2 linked regions of the Neurospora crassa OR74A genome follow. The protein of the gene in region 2 interacts with the protein of the main gene of each other region in a pairwise test. Links are inferred from orthologs where the notes say so. Each region holds a gene or a part of one and is shown on either strand. Other genes may lie near its edges.

Region 1 (11,140 bases), on a different chromosome or scaffold from region 2:
AGGGCTCTGTATCTGCTAACTGATGCCGAACGTGTGGAGAGCCTGGAAGATTTGGAATAGGACGGAAAACCTAATGCGTTGATACAACACGCGGGGCCGGGACTTTCAGGCCTTTCAGGGAACCGCGTCAGATGCCCAGCCTGTCTGTACTGGGAGTTCACGTCTTCCGAGGGGTATTCAAGGGACAAGAATCACTGAGTGAGGGACTACCCGACGCTGTTGCGATGCAAACGCCACACTACAATATTTGATTGCTGTATCATACTAAGTGTGCCCTACCCAGATGATCCACATCGGCCGCCAGAGATTACTCTGGTATAGAAAGCTAACTGAACTGAAGCTAATCCTACAATTATTTAGATAACGTACGAATTCTGTCTCATTTCTTATGAGCCCTGCGTTGCCACCCCCTTGTCGTTGTCATAACATAAACATGAGCAGGAACTTAGGTCCCAAGAAAGCCAAAGTTAAACGTTCACCAATTCCCCCTCCCCTCCTCCCGACGAGTCGAATTCAGCGTTCACCTCTTGTTCTTCTTCCTCATCCGGGTCCTGATAATACCCGGATCATTTTTTGCAGCTTCCTTCGCCTTGTCTATCACCACAATTCCACGCTCGACGGCGTCTCGCTTCTTCTCACGCTCTCGCACCCTTTCTTCTGCGGCTACCATGGCTGCCTCATCTCGGCTAACCTGCTCTTGGTTGATGTCCTCCCAGTTGATGTGCTTTAGGATGCTACCGGCGAGGTACTGGTATCGGAGATGTCCACTGACCTTAGCAGAGACATCAACATTCTCGACACCATCAATACCCTCGATCCGCTGCAAACCTGCAACGCCAAACTGGATGCTGCTCGTCCGATACAAGAAGCCCAACAGGTAATCGTTCTCTGAAAAGACATTGACAAGCCGGCCAGAGACTACGCTCCTCATGGTACACCAGACGCGGGCCTCCGAGGGTGCGGGCGTACCCATCATGACGGCGTTCTCGACAAGACCGAAAGCTCTGCGCTCCGCCAAGACCATCAAACAGACATAGATCGCACGGGCGCCGAGACTGTAACCGATCAGCGTCACTCCACGCTCTCCGTGGGCTTTGTTCATGATGGCGTCGGCGAGAAGAGTTCCGGCCTTGTCGGCGCGGACCATGCCGACGCTCCAGGGATTATCGATAATTTTGTTGATCTTGAGCAAGCCGAGTGGCCAAAGGGATTCCGTCATGCTGGTGAAAACTGGACCATGTTTGTTAGCGCGTCTCGAGAGGTTACACTTTGGGATATTGAAAGGAGGCTCACTGGTCCGAGCAATGATTTCCTTCTTTGCCATGGACCATGCCGAGCTCCTTACGACAGTCTCCAAAGCTGTACCCATCTTCGAGAGCGAGTCCACCTCCCATCGCACAGCGTATACCTCATTCGCCTGTCCTAAAGCCCTCCAGGGGTTAGTGACGTCCGACTCGTCGGTCAGCCATCCACTAATGGCCAGCACTACTCGGAGACGACGGGCATCTGGCTGGATTTTGCCAATCTCGCCATCTTGGCCAATAGAGCCGCGCATGGGGATGAAAGCGAAGTCCTGTATCTCCTTGGTACACTGCTCCATCAACTTGACCGAGGTTCTGGCGTTGTAGATACCGAGCAAAGCGCCGACAACAAAAGCACTCTCGCCTGTCGAACCTAATATGCCGGCGGAAGCAGTAGGTCCAAGCCCGAAACCTCCATTGACAGATCCGATTCCTGCAGCCACAAGGGGCGGAGCGAGATGGCCAGGTATCCCAAAGCTGCTAATTCCAGCCATACTTGCCAATCCGTGCCTCCATCTCCTGGATGGCTTCCCAGCACATTCCTCGATTCTTTTTTGGATCAGCTCCTCTGGATTGATATCCTTGGCCATCCACGCAATAGCCTTGGCAACGCGGACCTCGTCATCAACGAGGACGCGAAGAGGAAGGTTCAGCGAAGAGGTGATATGGAGCAGCAGCACCCGAGTATATGCACTGTAATGCTCGAGTGAGAGCAGGAGGAGTAGCAGAGCGTGAAGCACCAGCAATCTTCTCTCTAGAGGCCAGTAGCAAAGCGTCGACGGGATCGGTGGGTAGAGCTGCATCAGAACAGGGTCGGACTCAATGTTGGAGGTTGAAACTCCTGTCATGGAATTAGCAGCCGTCACACTATCTCTATATACGTGTCCCTGGTCACTAGGTGGAGTAAGTACTCACCGTTAGGCCTGTTCCTGCCTCGTCTGCTGTTTGGCACCGTGGAGTTGAAGTTGGCATCTCCAGCCCGCTTGACTGAGATGTCACCCATTCTCTTATGTACCGCTGTCTGCCATTTCTTGAAGTGCAGCATGGCTTCCTTCTTCAATTCCTGAAGGTAGGGCCCGATTGTCTTGTCATTGTCCTGTTCAGGGGCGCGTTGGATATTCAGGTTAGATGGGTTAGCTGGCTGCAGTGCAGCACCCGAGCTGTTTTTGGTGTCTCGAGCCATGTTTCCATTTTCCTTTTGGCTCCTTGAGGTCTTACCCTTAGTGCGCTTCTTGGGGTTCAGGAGCTGCGTCTCCGCAGGGAGAGGCTTGGTGATGCTGAAATCACGCAAGTGAGCGGGAAGTCCGCTCCAGAACTTGTTACGAACCGAGGGAGCGTCATCGACCAGACCGGCTGAGTCGTAAACATGGGAAAAGTGCTTCTGCATAACATCGGTGGTTCTGGTAATGAGTGAAGTTAAGTCGTTCTTTTCCTGGGGTGACAATAGAGTGCTGAAGTCAGCCTCCCGCTTCGGGGGATTATGTCTTGGTCTGCCGCCGGGAGGCATATCGGCGATGGTACTGTCGTCAGAAGCTGTGTGGGAGAGGGTCGGTGAAGTTGGCGATGCTGCTTCGGCAGCGTCCTTGGGAGAAGGCAAGCTGGGAGGAATTGGGTTACAAGTCTTGAGGCCCAGGGCCTTTGAAGAGCGCACCGTGACCGCTGGCGCGGGAGCGTTCTTGAGTGCCGCCATGATCAATTAGGAAGGCGACAAGGCGCAATGATTGATTGCTCTTTCTGTTGTTGATTCTGGCACCTCAGTCCCCGCCCTACCTTGGGGTGGATAGGTCACAGTAGAGGTGATTGCCCTGACCAATTGGTACAGCGCAGTAAACCGGAGTGTACTAGTTGCGGTGGTGTGGCGAAGAGACGGACCGTATGAGTGTATTGTCTCCGTCAGAAGGGAATGGAGACTGCAGTGCGCAACCAGAATTGCAACTGGAAGGTGTGGGCAATGGGTGATTGCCAGCTGAGGGTGGAGTGAGTCCAGTCGCCTTGTGGTCTGGCAGATCTTTGTGACAGGTGACTTCCCAGCCTGTTGAGTTCGCTCTCAGATTATGCTTCCCCGCTAGGAAAGATAGAGGGAAAGAGCGATGGTCATTCTGTCTCGAATTGTTTGCTGTCTTGGGGGGGGGGGGGGGGGGGCAGGCAGTTGTACTGCGGTACCACGATGATGTTCGCTTAGGCTAACCTTGACGTTACAGGAGCCAGCCAGACTGTCACGAGGCCACGAAAGAGTGTCGTTCCTGCGGGTTTTTAGGCTGGATGACCAGGCACGGGTATGTCGAATATTATGATCAGAGAATGCGGTCGCGCCAGGCGGTGTGGAGGGGAAACAGACAGAGGAAGGAAGAAAGGCCGAGAGGTCGGGCGTTGTTGTAGATAAAGTAAGATGGATTCTATGGGAAAGGGTCCTGGTCCCAAGCCGGGGGCGGGGATGCAAGGTGGGTGGGTGCAGAAGGGACCTGGGATATACAGAGATTCGTTGGTCGGGAAGGCCGCTGGGGATCGTAAAGGTCCATGGACGGAAAGAAAGAGCAGGAAAGGGCAGAGAAAGGCAGTCCACGCAGTGAAGGGCAGCTCAGTTAAGGGCAGGCAAAAGCAGGATCCCGGTGGAAGCTGGGAGTGTTCTACGCGTGGGCCGACTGCCGGAAGCTTTGCCAACAGCAAAAGGACGGCAATGAGGACCAGTGGTGTTTGGCAAGCATCGAAACTCCCGTTGTGTGACGCGGGAGAGGCGGGGTGTTTGGTGGTGGTCTAGTTCTGAGGCAGCACAACGTCCAAAGAGGTTCACAACCTAAGCTCAAGGATCACGGACATAAGATCATTCCATTGTGCTGCCATACCAGCTGCTGAACACGAACATCCAAGTGGCATTCAAGGTGAGAAGGGTTCGCAAGCTTGACTATAGGCTGCAGTGGGCTGGACCGGCACCGCTCTCTATTGTTGAGTTGCTATGGCACGCAAGCCTAGCCGCGTGAATGAGAAAACGCACCGCGGAGCTGAGGACTAACTGAGCAAGCCTTGATGGATATAAAAAGGACACTAAAGAATATGTGCTACCCTTTGGTACGGCCTCAGTCGTCAGTCAACATCCAAACCTCCCATCCTCAGCCTTTGACATGTAAGTGGAAGCGGACGCAATTGCCCGAAGACCAACGAAAAACTTCAAAGGCCCATCACGCACATGTAGTTAAAGCATATGCCATGGACATATGGACACCCAACAAACTATTTTGTTTGTTTGCAGCGGTCCCTTCCCGATCATACAATGAGGCTCAAATCAGGGGTGTTGTTGGAACTTTGGTTCAGGGTTGAAGCAACTTGAATGATCTGCCTTCAGGGTTGTGAGGGAGAACAGTGCGGACGCTTGCGCTCGACCTATCAGGGGACCCTTGTCAATTCGACTTCCTTCCCGCAGGCGATCTTCGCCCCACCTTTTGATTGGGTGCCCTGCATTGACTCTTGGGCTTTTATTTTGGCAGAGGAATGTGGAAGGTGGAATGACGAAGGGAAGCGGGGACGTGGGGGAAACGGGAAGAGTACTGCGTACATAGCGCCAAAACCGAAAACCTTCAGCGGCTGCGATTCTTCCGTCATCAAAGGTTGCTCTAACGGCCATCGACCCACACTACACCGAGGCGTGTTAAGTAACGTGTCCCACACTGAATGCACCACACCTACCTCTAGGTATACTACGTACTACACCCAACACACCTTCAAGTTCGTTCGTCTTCGGCCTACGGTATTCAAGTCTAGAAGGTACTGCAACCTGCCGACCAATACCCATTGCGCGACGGGTCAAGGGAGACAGACAGGCCGAGAGCTAGCTTTCAGATCGAGATAACAGAACAGCCTGGAACCCCGCGACAAGAGTCGCATGAAAATTCCAGTTCCTGCCAGGCACGCTCCTCGTCAGCAGCGGCGATCACACAAACTTCCCCAGACTCCGTCAGACCGCAATTTTTGTCGCATGACCGGACGGCCTTCAAACGACGATCACCTAACTCTTTTCTCGAACAGACCACACCACCCTTGAAACCGCGCCTTTGTAGAGAAGAAAAGAAAAAAAAAGAAGAAGAAGAAAAGAAGCGCTCCCAAAACCTCATCTTCTCCCGGACCCGACTACCTCTACGACTACCTACCGCATACATACAACCACCCGTTCAAACACATACGTCCCAAAAACACAACAGCAAACTTTGATACAATCACACAATGACCTCCGTCGCCCAACGGCAAGCGCAGCCTGCGCAACCGTCCACCAGCCAAACCGCTGCCCCAACCCGAACCCAAACCGAGACCTCTTCTCCGGCCATCTTGCGACTTCGCGGCGCACACTCGAACGGGCGATCTGTACAATGGCGTAGCGATGTCGTTGACAACGAAGGTCTCGGCAGGAAGAAGTCCAAAGGTTAGTTGATTTGGGTTCTCCATCTGCCCCCCCACTCTTCAATTACCTTGCGCGCATACATACACACTCTGACAAATACATATGCTAACACCACCGGCGTGCCATGAACAAAACAGTCTGCTGCATCTACCACCGACCAAAAGGCGTAGACGAGTCCAGTGACGATTCTTCTTCTTCCTCCGACTCTTCATCCTCCTCCGATTCCGACTCGGACCCAGAACCTGACCAAGATAAACGAATCACATCCGGCGGTGGTAGTAGTGGCAGGGGCCACCGGCATTCCCATGATCATGACCATGATGGCCGGGAGGGTGGTTGTAACCACGACCATGGACGTGGGAGGAAACACGGCAATAAAGGAAAGAAGACGGAAAGGAGGCCGAGCCCAAATGCGTATGAGAAAATGCCCAAGTATAAGCCGAAGGATGGAGGGGCTGGGCCTTCGAATTCAGAGACGCAAGGTCCTGGGGGAAGTAAATGATGCAGGGAACAACACGAACGTATGTTCGAAAGTCGAATTTCTTTTTGGGGGCAATTGTTAGATACCATGGGAAGAAAAAATATGAGCACGAAGGCTGGGTTTGTCTTGGTTTTGGCTTTCTGAAGCCATAATGAGCACGTGTATGGGCTGCTTCTCGTTAGATATCATTCTTCGCTAAGTGTCCTTGTTATTGGACTTCACGAGTCAAATAACGATCGATATACACATGTATCTCACTATAGCGGCCTCAGATATTCGAGACATCCAGCAACGCAGAATTGTGCTACTGCATTCTAACAGATTTGCCTATAGACACCATAAGTGACTCTATCTTATGTAACGGCTATACAGAGCTTCCCAATGTTTAAGATCGTACAAGAAATCTAACCCATCCATGTAAAGACAACCCTTCCAGACCTTTTTAGCTCACAGCGCCAGACGCCACTCAACGTTATCCCACTAGTGCAACAGCCAAGTCTGAGTCTGCTCCTTCTCACCCTCGGCAGCCCAAGTAACCCTCAAGTTCAATCCGCGCTCGTGATTCTCGGCGGTGATATACTCAATCTCGCCTGCAATCTTCTTGCCAGGAGCCGGCTTCGTCTCCTTGACCTTGTTCTTGTCCAACAGCATCAGGCCCTGTCGCCAATGGGTAGGCTCACCAAACGGTCCGGTAGTAAACGCCACCCGGGCGTCCTTATCGCCGCCCTTGCCGGCCGTCTCAGCCACCCACTCCTGCGCCTTGGTGTCCAGCTTGATGGACTCGTCGACGCGGTTGCGCGCAAAGAAAACGTCCCACCAGACGAGGAAGCCGTCGTGGCTCTCGGCCTTGTCGTCGAAGGCGCTCTGCCACTTAGCCGTGAACACGAGGTCCTCGACCTTGACGGTGTGGAAATCCAACAACCCGAACGAGGCCGGGGTGCCGCACACGGTCTCGGCGGGACGAACCTCCATCCGGCAATCCTCGTAGATGCCCTTCTGCATCACCTTCATGTCGAAGCCGTACACGTCGCGCCAGAAGTCAACGTACTCGGCAATGTACTCCTGTTCCGACACGGGCGCGATCCACATGTTGCCGTGGCTGGGGACGAGCAGACCTTGGGGAGCCAGGTACTTGTCGCGCGCCCACAAAACGCTGTTGAGCATGGCCTCGTACAGCAAGCAGTAGCCCATCCACTCGGACACAATGATGTCGACCTTCTCGACGGGGAGGATCACCTCCTCGATGCGGCCCTTGAGGGTAACAATCACGTCCGAAAGCCCGTTGGCGTAAATGTTCTCGCGCGCCTTGTCGATGATTTCCGAGCGGTCGACGGCGATAACCTGCTTCGCACCCGCCTTGGCGCAGAACATGGACAGGATACCCGTGCCGCAGCCAATGTCGAGGACGACCTTGCCGGCGAAGAGGTCCTTGTTCTGGTAGATGAAGTCGCGGTAGGCTTCGGTGCGGACCGTGTCCTTGAGCATGGTCTCGTGGATGTCGTTGTGCGCGTATGACTCGAAGTAGTAGTCGGAAGCACCCTCCTTGGCGGCAGGACCCTCGGGGGCCGGACCTGAAGGCGCAGCAGCAGCAGCAGCGGCGGCGGCCTTGCCCTTGGCAGCATCCTTGTCGTCGTCATCAGCCTGCCAGCGCTGATCGAGGGTCTGCTGGACGGCAAGGCGGTAATTGGAGAACTGCTTGGACAGCTGCTCGAGCTGAGCCTGGAGCTCGGCGTTCTTTTGGATCAACTCATCCACAGCAGGCGCATCCGCGCCCTTCTGGGTGCCGGCAGCAGAAGCCTCAGCGCCGGTACCGCTGGACTCAGGGAGATCATCCAGGCACAAAATCAAGGCGTCGTCATCAAGGACGGGCTTGAGATAGCGGTCATCCTCCAGATCGGCGGCAGTGATCTCAGCGGGAAGAGGGACGCCTTCGTGAACCTTGGAACGGACTAATATGTTGTCAGCAGGCTGCCTATTTAGCTTGTGGAGACTGGAGACCTACTGAAGTTGATAAGTTTGATCAAGCCGTAGAAATCCAAGTTGAGACGGTCGCGAATGGCAAGGAAATCAAGACCCTTATCCTTGCAGTAGTTCAGCATGGAGACAACGTCGGGGAAGACATGGTCGTCGAGCAAGGAGATGATAGCGGGGGCCTCCTCTTGCTCCTCGTCTTGGTCGAGCCACTCATCCTCGTCGCCAGAAGAAGAAGAGGCATCGGAGCCAGAGTCAGAGGCGGAGCTATAGTCGTTACGACGGGGTTCGGACTGAGCCGCCGAAGTTGAAGCTTGAGCGGCCATGATGTGGTGGTTTGCCTCGAGGTACTTGACTTTGCTATGTCAGGTACAAAAATGTGAACAACAACCAAGGTCACAACAAGAAACGTGGTTCTTGAAAGTGGGTTGTGAGAATGTTGGAGCCTGGTCGTCAAGGTGCGCAGGCTTTGAAAAAATCAGAAATTTCCACTTGTGTAAATTGGTAGTGTAAAGCAGTACCTCATTAGGTTGGCTGCAGTTGCAGCGTCGCCCAAAAATTGCGGGGAAACACATGCCGATAACGAACGCCTGTTAGAACATCGAGAACCAAAGACGTTCTCGTAATTAAAATGTACAAATATGCTAATAATTTCCGTTCGTTTATTGTTACCTTCTTCCTGATTGTTTCTGTACATGCCGAAATGGTGTAGTAATGATTCAAGGACCAAGCTTCTTGGGCCTTTGGCGGATTATGTCGTTCTCCAACAAACCACCCCAAGATCCAGCCCCTTTCCCAGCTTCAGATCCAGTTGCCTCGGCAACCAGCCTTTCCAGAAAGACAGAAAAGAAGGTATTGTCTGATCCAGTACGCCCTTTCTCTTGATCATGTAATCATGAGAAAATACAGTGTAAAATCTACAGTATCAACTAGCAGCCCGTCGCTCTATGTGCTCTTGTTGCTCCCTTGCCAATCGTGCCTGCAAATTATTCAACCCCCAACAACGCCAGTAACTCCTTCACATAACCCAGAAGACAAAATCAGGTATTCGATGAAAAACAAGGAATGGAGAAGAGGTCCCAACAAAGAGCACTCCAGCAATATTCCAACCTAACACTTCAAGAAATTCAAGCAAGCAAACCGTCCTGAATCCAACCCATAAGCAAATCTCTCGTATGTCTTTCTCAGAGGCGGACGCTCGCTCCTATTCCCCTTCCAACATACCACAGCGTCTCTGTCCAGGATCCAATCCTGACACTGACAGTAGCCTTCGCATCAAGCTTCAGCCTACCACCTAATGCTTCCTTCACCTTATCACGTCCAACCGAGTCCAGAGACCAGTCCACCGGCAACCTAGGCGTGGTGGACACCCCCGGAGGGCAACCAAACGGTGAATCATACTTGATTCGTCCGATTTCCTCCGTGTGATTGTACAGGGCTGTAGCATTGATGTGCTCGATATAAATCGTGTTTCGTGAGAAGGGCGAGGCTAACGTAAATGTGGCTTGAGAAGAGAATATGTGAAAGGTCGCGCCTCGAATAAAGTGAGGAGCCGTATCATTGGTGCTACCGTCCCCATCGTGTCGTCCACCTTCATCGTCGCCAGGCACGCTAAGTCTAGGCATTGGGAGCGTAAAGTTGAATTTTGACAGCGCTTTGCCCAGCTCTGGCTTTGATGGAATAGTACCCAGATGTGTTCTAAGCGTCACGGTTGTGTTATAACCGGATATGTACTGCGAAATCAAATCCCGGCCGATTTGCACGCCATCTTCTCCGGCCAAAGAAGGCCTCCATAGTGCCGTCACTTTCAGGTTTGTATTGTTTCCACGCTTGATTGTTAGTCTCTTTGCACGCGCCTCGCCGAGAACAGTTCCATTTTTCAAAATGTTGATGCTAATCCAAGGAATGTAGGCCGCGTATGGAGTAGGGTTGGTTACGTTAACTGACGCCTGTAGAGATATTGAGACTGGGCTAGTGTCAACAACTTCCAGTTCTCCCACTTGAGGCTGCATAGAGCCGAGAAGATCGTTTCCAAGGGCTAGTGAAGGAGCGAGATGTCAGTTTTCTGAGATGTCCATGAGGTATGCGTGAGCGACTGATGGATAGCATCGACAAGAGATGCATAATCGCCAACAGTAGCAAGGTGACTGACAAAGTATCATTGGAGAAGAGACGGACGTTTGAGCGGAATTCTGCCCTCCGCGGGGACACCCTTCACCACAAATTGTCCAAGAATTGTATGTACGCCAACGTCGACAAGAGCGCTGATGTCGAGAATGACATCGGTGTCACCAAAAAGGAGGGCCTGAATAACATCGGTCAACACGTCATCGTCGGTAACCTTGAGCGGTGTATCGTGAACGTGTGATGTGATCTCAATCAAGTTTTCTTCACCGGGACCGCCGTCGATTTGAATGGAGCTGGCCTTCTCGTCAATTTCCAGTTCGCCTAGCTTCCTGGAGTCATAAAACACATCCGCTTTGGCTTTGACACTGGAGACGTTCAATCCAATATTCAGTTCCGATGGGAGGGCTGCCAAAGCGACGATAGTGCCCGACACTTTGGGGTTCGAATTGGGGTCGTCGGGATCTGCCAACGGGTCTGGCAGGGAGAATGATACGTCCGTCAAAGAGAAGTTACGAATCAAGTCGTCAAAGGATTGTTGCGGAAGAGGTACAGGGACCGTAACACTGGAGATGATATCCCCGATCCAACCAGGGACCTCTCCACCTTGATCTTTCTGACCTCGTACGAGAACCGATACAGGCTCACCTGCAACGTAGGCTTCAAAGAGCTTGTCCAACGGCGACAAGGTTCCACCAGGGCAGGGACGGGTAAGAGGCTCTGGCAATTCTTCGACGATGGAATGGGCAGTGACTTTGACATCGGCTTCCGGCCTAAGAGCAATGACATCGGTTAGGGCGGTGGCGACAGAAATGGCCGGGCCATGCTTCTTGCATCCCGGAACCGAGACCTCGAACTTGAGCGCGGGTACGT
Region 2 (11,670 bases):
GTCAGGGTCTGGACTAGAATCATGAAAGTAGGATTCGAGCAGTACACTACTGGGTACCGTGCTTAAAGACTGGCGAGTTACCTAGTCTAGTGCTCTGGAATCCAGCATAATGCCAGAATGGGGCTTGATAGGAGTTCCAGCGATCCGTAGGGCTGAAAGCTGATGCGGTTAGGTGAGCCCAGACATTGCCGTCTCCCCTTTTAGGAGCACCAACCTCGGGTACTCTCATGCTTATACGGCATAAGAGACAGCTTGGCAGGTGCATCGATGACTGCTGACAGCCGGTCAACAAGCAAGACGTCGTGTTGTTACTGGCCCGAGGTACTTGCTGCATCGGTAGCCAGGAACTTGGTCCCGATCTAAACCCTTTGAGAGGTAAAGAAGCGAGCATGAAGCTTTCCTGTCTGATTAGATCCCGCCGGCTAGCTCCACTGACGCGGAAGAGAAATGCTGAAAGACCGGAAGGACCCGCAAGAAAGTTAACGAACCCACAGGCTAGCTGCATCTCGTTTCAGGGTCGATTGCTTGGTGGCGCCACCGTCTGGGGTAGCAGTGGTTCATGGTTTGATGTGAGACGGATCATGTACATCAGCGTCTATGCACCCAACGCGAAGGATGCCTGAACAGTCATGTACCTCACATGTGCCTAAGTAGGTTGAACTAATTATCAATGACAAGAAACAATATATAAGGATAAAGCTGTTCAAGAAAGTCCCGGCTGGTCCCTACGGAACCTCTGGTTATAATTCACCATTGTCAGACGAATCACTTTATCATTGGACGGGAATGCCAACAACTGCCTGAGAAGACCTTGATCCGGAGCATGTCCCGTCAGCGCGTCCACATACTGTGTAATGCTTCCGGACGGGCTGTATTTTGATACAGGACAGGAATATCTTGGTCATTGAAGTTGCTTGGGTTAATCCATACCGATGATTGCAACAACTTGTTACGGGAAATGTCGTGAGGGAAACAAGAAAGAACAACAAGCGGAAGGTACTTTTGCGGTGGACGTGCATGTCGTTGGCTTTCCTTCTCCCACAGAAAATGACAGGCGACGATTGCTGAAGGTCACGTTGAAGGTTCGAGATTGAGGTTCTCAGAATGAACGTGAACCAGCGCAAAGCCTTACGGCCTTGATCTGATCCGTTTCCCATCCCCAGCATTTGTTGATCCGACAGTGAACAAGCAAAGTTGACAACGGACACTCCATGATATATGAATCTGCTTGTAGTTTCAGGCTTTCTCTGTTATCACATATGAAATAGAGAAAAGGGGTCATTGGAGACGTGAAGGAAAAGTTAAGCCGCAAGAATTGTCACCCATTTTCGCTTGTCACGATCAAGTTGAGGGTTGGAAGTTGAACTGACGTTGATTCCTCGGTGACCCACCCTTCATCGTTGTATGCATCAATGGGGGTGTTTGTGCCTTTTTGCCAAATATCTTAGCGCTGCCCCGCACAACCCCATGCTGAAGGACAACAGAGGTGGAGACATCTGTCAAACCCACTCCAGCCTCTATCCATCACGTTTCGCGCTTGCACATTAGCCACGGCCTCTGGTTGGCTCCGGTTAAATAGGTTAAACGGGAACTTGGAGACGGGCTACCGGGTCATATCCAGCCCCACCACCCGCAGCTTGCGGGCTCCAGCGACTCCAACAATTGCTCCAAACACGATTTCTTGATATGGACAGTATTGAAGATTTTCAAGGTCAAGTGAGACAGGTCTTGAGTAAAGGCGTTCTACCCTCTCTACCTAGTCACTCGGCAGATAGACCGAGAACTTGGAGAGACTAAGAGGGAAAACGTCCTTTGCTAGTTGTGACCAGCCCACTCCGAGGTCAAAGCTACCATCAAGGTACCAGCAAACGCCTAGGCAGGCCGCTTTGGCGCCATATACATACAACATGATGTCGATGCAATGCAGTCGGACGAACCCACCCCTTCTCCAACTTTCTTTTAAACCGCGCAAATAGGCGTTCAAGATGACCAGTACCCAATACCCTGGCCCCTGCGCCAGCTGACAAGGCTTGGGGCCATTACCCATGCCAATCATGGCCGGTTTCCAGAAAGGCAACCGTCCCTGGGCATTTCGAGTATCGCCGGCGACCAGTCAGCTAATGGGATTCCGCACAGCATCTGAAGAACCACACCCCAACACGTTACCTTGACATCCTGTCAGGCCAGATGAGGGTCCCTGGAAAACCAAGCTCCTGTCTGCCACGCCCGGGACCTGATAGCGGGTCTGTGAGGAGTAGACGGAGGCGCGGGAGGATGAATGTGGAAGGAGGTGGAGGGACGCAGTGAGGGGACAACATGAGCCGAAGTCCATCGCCGTCATAGCTCTGCTCCCCAACCGGCATAGTATTCGTCCGTGGATGGGCCGGGAAAGGTTGGAGTAGGCCACCCGGGTATTGTACATACACGCCGTTTCTTTACGAGTGGCCGGGGAAGTTCTAGCCTCCACCCACTTGACGGACAGCAGCAGCTATAAATACCATTATAGCCGCTCTACCCTCTTGCCTGGCTTGTTTGATCTCTTTCCGTCTCACACACTCCTCTACATCCCACCAACAGACAAAATGGTTCCTGCTATCAAGCTCAACTCCGGCTTCGACATGCCCCAGGTCGGCTTCGGCCTCTGGAAGGTCGACGGCTCCATCGCTTCCGATGTCGTCTACAACGCTATCAAGGCAGGCTACCGCCTCTTCGATGGTGCCTGCGGTATGTTTAAGACTTCCTACTTCCAACTGTACATTACATGATACCTATTGTCAACACAACGTCTCCCCTCGCATGGCAATCTCTCGTGGTGTCCATTCTTATTTTAAGGACACGAGGAGCAGCGATACCATCGCAGGCATGGACACTTATTTACACCACTACCCCACATCGACCCCCGTCACTTCAGCTCACCCTGCTTGCAGGAGGATGAGACATTATCCGTCGAATTCACCCCAAAGCCATAGTACCGCCATCAAAGACACAGTAGGCACGATGGCATGGTTCTTGTTGACTGACTCGAAATGTGTTGGTTACAGACTACGGCAACGAGGTTGAGTGCGGCCAGGGTGTAGCCCGCGCCATCAAGGAGGGCATCGTCAAGCGCGAGGAGCTCTTCATCGTCTCCAAGCTCTGGAACACCTTCCACGACGGCGACCGCGTCGAGCCCATCGTCCGCAAGCAGCTTGCCGACTGGGGTCTCGAGTACTTCGATCTCTACCTGATCCACTTCCCCGTCGCCCTCGAGTACGTCGACCCCTCGGTCCGCTACCCTCCCGGCTGGCACTTTGATGGCAAGAGCGAGATCCGCCCCTCAAAGGCCACCATCCAAGAGACCTGGACGGCCATGGAGTCGCTCGTCGAGAAGGGTCTCTCCAAGAGCATTGGCGTCTCCAACTTCCAGGCCCAGCTCCTGTACGACCTCCTGCGCTACGCCAAGGTCCGCCCCGCCACTCTCCAGATCGAGCACCACCCCTACCTCGTCCAGCAGAACCTCCTCAACCTTGCCAAGGCTGAGGGCATCGCCGTGACCGCCTACTCCTCCTTCGGCCCTGCTTCTTTCCGCGAGTTCAACATGGAGCACGCCCAGAAGCTCCAGCCTCTCCTCGAGGACCCCACCATCAAGGCTATTGGTGACAAGTACAACAAGGATCCTGCCCAGGTCCTCCTCCGTTGGGCCACCCAGCGCGGCCTGGCCATCATCCCCAAGTCTAGCCGCGAGGCCACCATGAAGTCCAACCTCAACTCTCTTGATTTCGATCTCTCCGAGGAGGACATCAAGACCATCTCTGGTTTCGACCGCGGCATCCGCTTCAACCAGCCCACCAACGTAAGTTTGATACTTCCTTTTGCCATTCTCTCATCGGCACCCCAAACTTGGCGTCAGAATATATATATATATATGTCATGGTATAAAAGGTATAGACTAACATGGCAAACTCACAGTACTTCTCCGCTGAGAACCTCTGGATTTTCGGTTAGGTCAACCTTTTTCCGCAGCTTAGGGGAAAAGTTGGCTTTCGCGCCCCCCATTCCAAAACCTTTTGATTTTACCCCTTGAATGTGTATTATACCCACAACGCATTTTGTATACGCGGGCGCGTGATTGGTATGGTCGCCTAGATCGCTACGACCTCTCACGGCCCGCACACACAATGCACACCACACGCTCATGGAAACATCAACATAACCATACCCCGACCATCAGAGACACCGCGAAGAGAGAAGGCTGGTCACCGTACCCTAACGACGGGATGTGTACATATAATGGGGCATACTGTCGTTATCTGCTGAGGCCCGGGGAAGGGCTGTTGGCAGATCAACTCTCCCGGCTCTAGGCCATTTCCTGTTTGCTTGATAACCTGTCAGCTATGAAATAGATGGGGTAGAATGCGATAGAAATCAAGATTTGACAAATCTTTCTGTTTCGAAATTCTTTTTCGTCGATCCCTGCTCGTGACATGAGCTGACTCTGTATTGTTTGTGGTGATTGTCGAAGTCGTCTATATGAATCTGATCATCATCGTACAAAAGCAGTCAATACTAGCCACTAGCCACTCCATGTATCAACCTCGACACAAAGGCGCACGCGACCGTCCTTTCTTGGATGGCCCGGTGGTTTGGACTAAGTTGTTCGTTGGTCCTTTTGTCGGTGAAGTCGGATGAAAATAGTATGGATGCAATTATGAGGGTGAGAATGCAAAGCAAAGGGCAACGGGTCTAGACGAGAGTAGTAACGAAGTCTACTGGGAATACATCAAGTTGTCGATTGTCTTGCTTCAACAACCCATCTAACGCCGTAGTACCATGAACGCCAGTGCCATGCTGCATGAACTTTGACTACACAATCATTATGCTTTGCAAACCGCCAAAATCGCCATTCATATACATCATACGCGGACGAAAGCTGCGTGATTTGGGAATTAGCAAATCTTCTGGAGTTTCCATAAGTAATGCCTGTTGAAACTTACTAGCATCAATCTGCTGCACCTGCGGCAGCGCCAACCGGACCTTGTTCCTATACAATGCCGGCGCTCTGAGCTGTAACGGGTTCCCCTCAAAATACACCGTCGTCAGGTTCTTCTTGTCCTTCAGTTCTCGCTCCACCTCGGCGAAGTCGCCGACCATGTTATAGCTCGCCCACAACTCCTCCAACTCCTCGAGGGGACCGATGCCCTTCAGGCTGGCGATCTTGTTGTTGGAAATGTCCAACACCCGCAGCTTGGTGTTGTTCTCCAACCCTTCGAGCGATTCGAGCGCGTTGTGCGAAATGTACAGTTCCTCAAGCTGGGGTACCTCGCGCAAGGGGGACAGGTCGCGAATCCGATTGGACTGGATGCTGAGCAGACGCAGCTTAGGAAGGCCGCCAAGGCCGGTGAGTTCGGTGATCTTGTTCTTGGCCACCCATAGCTCTTCGAGGTTCTTGAGCGAGTCGAGGTTCTGCAATTCGCGAATGCGATTCGACCCAAGCTCGAGGTTGCGCAGCTTGTCGAGTCCTTCTAACCCTTCGATGCGGCTGATTTTGTTGGAAACAAAGAAGAGATCTGTCAGGTTGGTCAGGTGATTGATGTGCTTGATGTGCTTTATCTTGTTGAAGCTTAGATCCAGACTGGTCAGATTCGTGAGGTCAGTCAGCCCGCGGCCGATGTGCGAAATCAGGTTGTCATAAAGATCAAGATCTTGGAGGGTCTCGGCGACAGCGGCGAGGCCTTCGATATCTTGGATCAGGTTTTGGCGAAGGCAAATGCGGGCAACTTGTTTGAAGCGCTCAAGACGCAATGCTGAGATGGACTGAATGCGGGAGTGGGTGCAAATGATCTCATCGGTATCGAGGGGCTCGTTGTCGAGGAGATCTGTAAACCAAACGAGCCGGACATGGTTAGCCAGAGGTTCGTTACCACCGAGTCATTTTCACTATCGTTTAGACATGTAAAAGGCCTAGTGTCCGTGTTTGAGCGCACTCGAATTGCTTGCCTTCATCCGCTGCAACCTCCTCGCCAGGAACAACGTTGTCATCGTCCGAGTATTCCGGATCCGACAAGGCTTCGGGATTTGTGAGCACAGCACTCTTTGGTACCCGCAGCTTCCCGTCCCAGCCTTTGCTATCTCTGAGAGCGGGGCTTCCTGCTTCGCCCTCGTGTCGTGGTGAAGGATGGTCGTCGACCAGCTCAATATGGTGGCCGGGCGACTGGCGACCCGGTGTGTTGCTGCCTTCTTCAATGGGAGCCGGCATGGTTGTGGTAGTATTTGGGCGGGTAGGTAGTTGGTGCCTGCTCTCGAGCGTTGCGCAAAGTCGCGGAATGGTCGTGGTCGTGCTGAAAAGCGTCCAAAGGTAAAAAAAAAAAAAAGAAACAGGAAAAAGAAAAAGAAAAAAGAGTACCGACGAGCACAGGGATCGATACTATCGCAATACTCAAGGCAGTGTTGATCAGTTAATGGCGCAGTCGGAAGCGGTGGCGCGCTGGTAATCAGTGGTTGGTAGTATTTATTGGACAAATACAGTGACTTATCATTTATGTGATGAGAAGGAGAATCTCCCGACTTTTTTTTTTTATCACTTCCTGATTATCAAACGAATGGAAGTCGCATCTACAGAAAATGAGGGGTCGCTTAGGTTGGTTCTCCAGTCTTCAGTTGGAATATCGTCATGGTCATGGACCAATTCCAACCACCCGCTGGGATGTCCCGTCATGCGCTAGTCCCCTTGGTTGGTCCCCTGAGGCGGACAAATGCGGGGATCACATCAGTGGGTGCACCGTGCAACGCCAGGGCCTGCCTTGTTGGGGGGCAGACTGGAAAGGGTTGGTCGTACAGGGGTCCTGTTAGACTCTTAACGGAAAGGGCATCAGGGCATCCCGAGGCCGTCTACCAACACCCGCATCACCATCGATCAAGACCCGACCGACCTCAACCGACGTTTACCATCCTCGATATCGACGGCGCTCACTGTCATTGCCGCTTCGATTTCATGTCTATGGATCATATCGGTCAATCTTCAAAAGAGATTCTCCAATACTGAGCCCGATCATCTCGAAGAGTGAAGGCTTCAAAAAGCCTCGGAAGGCCTGGAACCGCTCTTTCGAACAAATTACATTCTTTGCTGCCTCACCGGTTCATACAGTACATTATCGAGGCATTTTGGGTGAATCACAGAGCGCCAACCTCGGATTGTCTGGAACTTGTTCCACTGGAACTCCTGTCGACTCGAGTGCGCCACCCAACCTGGCCAGCAATCTCCGATTCGAAAGGAAGTTGTGGAGGTGTATGTGCAGAACACCTTGCAGGAGACTGAAGAGTAATCAACAAGTGGCAGCTGAACACGAGATTATGCAATGGAAACGAGCTGCGGAAAATCCTGCAGTTTGCTCGGGTGAGACAAGTGCCATTGTCTCATAAGTTTCCCCCAATGGTTTCTCGCTGTCTCGTGTCCGCCTCAAGGGCCCGGTTGGAACAACTTCGTGCAATCTCTTCACTTTCGAGCTGTCGTCACGGTAGTACCTACATCAGAGGTTCACGATATGGGGTCACTGCCGCGAGGTCTCTGATCGTTCCCCTGACATTCAAGCCGAGCACATTTTCCGTCGTTAGTGGCAGCGGCCGCACTGCGAAATGCATTCACATCCCGGCGGTGCTGATGCCGCCAGTCGTGTTCGTGGGGCTTCTGGTTGCTTTATACGTGTGGAAGTGCATGATGCTAGTTGTGTTCCAGAACAAGATCATATATATGCCTGGATTCCCTCCCAACTCACGATGGGAGCTCATCGACAACTACGCTAACCACTGCGGTGGAATTAAGTGGACGAATGAAAGGATTCAAGCGGCGGACGGGACAGACCTGGCAATGGCCGTTACAACCGTCCCGATGCAAAAGGGAAAGTTCCCTACAGATAAGAAGGATGCGAGGGCCCATGTATATGTTCTCTACTTTCAAGGTTTGGTTCCTCATATCAACGTGTCGTTCCGGGACTCGCAGCTGATATGGGCACCTAGGAAACGCCGCTTCGATACCGCCACGATTGCCGGATCTGTCATGGGTGCTTCGAAACGTCAGTAACAGCCACAACCCGGACCTGGCACCTCTACAGATGACTTTTGTTTGCCTAAGTTACAGAGGTTATTGGACATCCCGGGGCCGGCCCTCGGAAGCTGGTCTCAGGCGAGATGCTGAAGCCGGTGCACGCTGGATTTCCGAATACCATAAACAACTGTACGGACCAGACAGGGATGCTCCTCTACCCATTCTTCTGCTCTGGGGACAAAGCATCGGTTGCGGTGTGGCCACCAACCTTGCTGCGACAGGCAAGATTCCACAGAATTTGTCAGTCCGAGGCTTGCTCCTCGAGACCCCGTTCTTGTCGGTCAGGACCATGTTGGAGACGCTCTACCCTCAAAAGTGGCTTCCATACAAACACCTTTGGCCGTTCTTACGCAATCATTTGGATAGTTGGACAAACATGGAAACCATTGCCCAGGCCGCGAGGGAAAAGGGAAGTCCGCCGCCAAGTATGTACATCCTTGAGGCCGAAAGAGACGAGTTAGTTCCCCCAGAACATGCCGAGCGTCTGCTCGAAAAATGCCAGGACCTAGGCTTGCCGGTTGAACGGGTCAAGTCTCCGGCGGCGTTTCACAGCGATGCCATCATGAGAGTCGAAGGCAAGAGACTAGCTGCCCTTGGCATTGTGCGACTGACCCAGAAAACATTAGATGTCGGCTGAGACTGCAGACATCAACCGCGTAGCGGCAGACATCCAAACACCGGTCTGGCGGACATGGACCGCACAATTGCTCGTCCATAGCTGCGGAGCTGGCTATGGACAAGTGTGGTAACGGCGGGGCCAGATGGGAGAGAGTGAGCACTGCGAGGGAAGAAGGCAAACGCAGACGCCGGCCGTTTTCACTGGGAGGTGCCGTGCAGGCGAAGCAACTTGGGACCAATGTCGTCCTTTGCATCACATTACGGAGGCGCAGAGACTCTGATGCTGGCGTGGTACAAAGCTATTGCGTACCCTAGGACATGGCGGGGTTATCGCAATAGGAATTGAGGCTCTCATCTCGGGGCTTTCGAATGGGCGAGATCTTTTGACGACTTGGACTGTCCAGCGAGAGAGATGCGTATTGGGCTTCCCGTGTGGAAACATGTGCTTAAACAAGTCGATGCGTAGCTGACGCTGACGGCGAGTTTCAAGTGGTAACTAGTAATGATCTTGGTTCACCACCAGGCACCAGCTCATGCCAAGCCAAATGATGCGGCAAAATGGCAATAGCAGCCAGCCTTGTGAGCTACTGAATCGTCATATGGCCGGACCCCAGGCTCACCGAAAGACGGGAGTGGAGGAAACACCACAATCTTGGAAGGGAAGCTACGGGCCACATGTTGTCTCGGGCGTAAAACTCGCTCCACGCCAATCAACGATCCATTCCAACGTTCGTTCCGCTTAATCGCCGTTTGTATTATGAAGTGAAGGCCACCATCCCACTCATTCCCCACCCCCGGCCGGCTCTCCTCGCCCTTGCATTTCCTCCATGATCCGTCGATCCTATTCCGGGCCATCTTACACCATGAACAGGCAAGAGAAGGGAGGCCGGCCGATGTCGACCCCCATGTCAATGGCCTCGGAATGGACTAGCGCGCCATCAGGTGACCTCGTGCGAATATCCCGTTTCCCACCTCGAACACTTAACGCGCCAAATCACGTTTGATGGTGTGAAAGATACTGCAGGTTGTGCCAGCCAAGGTTACCACTCTATACTATACTACCCATCAAGGTTCACCAACATACATACCCCTCAGGACTGGCTGGAGCCTAGTGCACAAATGGAAACGACTAGGCCTCCATTTCATGCACAGCGCGTCCATATAAAAATGCATCGCCCATCGAGAATTGACGAGGCTCTTCATCCATTTTGTGCGCAGATTTTCGGGCTTCAAAGCACTCGGTACTTTCGGTAGTTAGACAGGTGATATTCGCCAGATATCACCACCAGACTGATAAGAAAGTTGTTGCCGATGCTCTATCGCCATCGATCACCCAAGCCCCCATTCGTGTGTTCCTCGCCGACACATACCACCCGATATCTTGTTGTATCGATGCAATCGATTGCTTGACTGCCATCTTCTGCCTCGAAGTGCAACTTAGGAAGCAGACAAAGTGGTCAATCACAATCGTCTCACAAATGTCATCTCGGTGCCTCGATATCCCCCACAGCAAGAGTGGTTCTAGACCACCGAAGCTAGTCAGGTCGAATTCATCCTTGTCCTTCGCTAAAGAAGCCGGAATTTCCAAGCGTCGCCATGATCTCCGTCATCGTCGCCTTAATGTGGCAACCGTTCCCGGAACAGTGGCTCGTGCAGAGTACGTTTTCAAACCGAACGAAACTCACTTCAAACCTACTTCTGATCAATCTGCTTCTAGTGGCAACCTAAATCCCATCTCACCCATCGTCACCCTCTTGATCGGCCAGGAGTCCCGCATCTTCGCCGCCCACGAAAACGTGCTATCCGCTTCGCCCTTCTTCAAGAACGTCCTCGACACTCAATTCTCCGAAGGTGAAACCAAGCGAATATTGCTTCCTAATGAGGAACCAGAGATCTTCTCCTCAGTTCTCGAATACCTCTACAAAGGCGACTACCACCCCCGCCTTGTTCACGATAGGAGACGGGACACGTGGGAACTGGAGGAGTCAGCGGCAGCAGGCAGAAACGGGAACGGCGGTCGGGAGGCTCCAACCATTTATCATCATTCGGTGGATGGTGAAGTGCTCAAAGACACGGTGATTTACTGCGCGGGCGAGAAATATGGACTGGAAGAGTTGAAGAGAATTGCTCTAAGAAAGCAAGGTCTTCGTAAGTACAGCCTAGTTCATTTCATCAGCTAACTAATGTCTTCCTCCTCTTCGTGCCATCGTGTTCAACTATCTGAACTGAGCTGACCCAAATATGCATACATGCAGAATGCGGAAGAGTGGCCAGCACAATCTTGACCTCCGCCAGATACGCCTACGCCAACACCCCCGACACCGACTCCAAGCTTCGAGCTCACTATCTTGCGCTGATCATTCGCGGCCGCAACACGTTCAAACGCAGCGGAACTATGCAGCTGGAGATGTTTCACGGTGGCAGTGATCTCTTCTTTGACTTGTTTGTGGCACTGTGTAATCATGTTGATGATATTTCGGTTGCTTCGTAAGTCTAGTTTCTTTTTAAAGTCTTCCCTGTCTTCGCAGCCAGGTTCATCATGTATAGAGTACGTAGTTTCTAACTCCCAGCAGAAGCACCCAACAAAACACTCAGCAAAGCTCCTGCAACGAGGACGGCCCCCAGCCGTAGTTCTTTAACCTTTTTTCTTCTTCTTCTTCTTTCAAGTTGCTGTTTCCACACATCTTGTGAAGGTGTGTGATTTCAAGACGGATGGTTCTTTTTCTCCAAGATACATTTGGCCAATTTTCTACTCGTACATGATATTACTCGGTGCTTTCTATCACATGGTGTTGGGGAAGGTTTGTTTACGTCGATATCACTGAACTTGAAGTTCCGATTTTCTCCGTTTGGAGCCAGGACGAAAGCTACCACGGCAAATGAACAAAAGTGAAATGCGTGAACAAAGCATGACTTGGGCTTTTTTGTGGTATTCATGGTATCTGAACGCAAAGAAACCCCGAAGACCGAAC

The links.
Region 1: the proteins of NCU08385 (region 2) and NCU01670 interact in binary tests that used the Saccharomyces cerevisiae proteins (3 or more experiments, as listed by UniProt). The link is inferred for Neurospora crassa OR74A from reciprocal best matches to the Saccharomyces cerevisiae genes SDS22 and YPI1.

Annotation. Positions count from the first base shown.
Region 1 is NC_026502.1:2,745,771-2,756,910, forward strand, and holds NCU01670 (type 1 phosphatase regulator ypi-1), read left to right. Parts: upstream 1-4,844; 5' UTR 4,845-5,516; coding exon 5,517-5,712; intron 5,713-5,828; coding exon 5,829-6,193; 3' UTR 6,194-6,579; downstream 6,580-11,140. Other genes in the region: NCU01672 (DUF726 domain-containing protein), read right to left, coding at 521-2,142, 2,217-2,991; prm-3 (S-adenosylmethionine-dependent methyltransferase superfamily domain-containing protein), read right to left, coding at 6,653-8,121, 8,175-8,469; NCU01668 (hypothetical protein), read right to left, coding at 9,328-10,181, 10,322-11,140.
Region 2 is NC_026501.1:5,511,408-5,523,077, reverse strand, and holds NCU08385 (protein phosphatase PP1 regulatory subunit sds22), read right to left. Parts: upstream 6,505-11,670; 5' UTR 6,236-6,504; coding exon 5,977-6,235; intron 5,856-5,976; coding exon 4,974-5,855; intron 4,910-4,973; coding exon 4,893-4,909; 3' UTR 4,430-4,892; downstream 1-4,429. Other genes in the region: NCU08383 (hypothetical protein), read left to right, coding at 1-17; xr (xylose reductase), read left to right, coding at 2,583-2,724, 3,042-3,832, 3,949-3,984; NCU08386 (hypothetical protein), read left to right, coding at 7,612-7,650, 7,712-8,048, 8,116-8,717; NCU08387 (hypothetical protein), read left to right, coding at 10,177-10,355, 10,416-10,846, 10,954-11,185, 11,272-11,329. UniProt on the Saccharomyces cerevisiae protein: Regulator of the mitotic function of yeast type 1 protein phosphatase.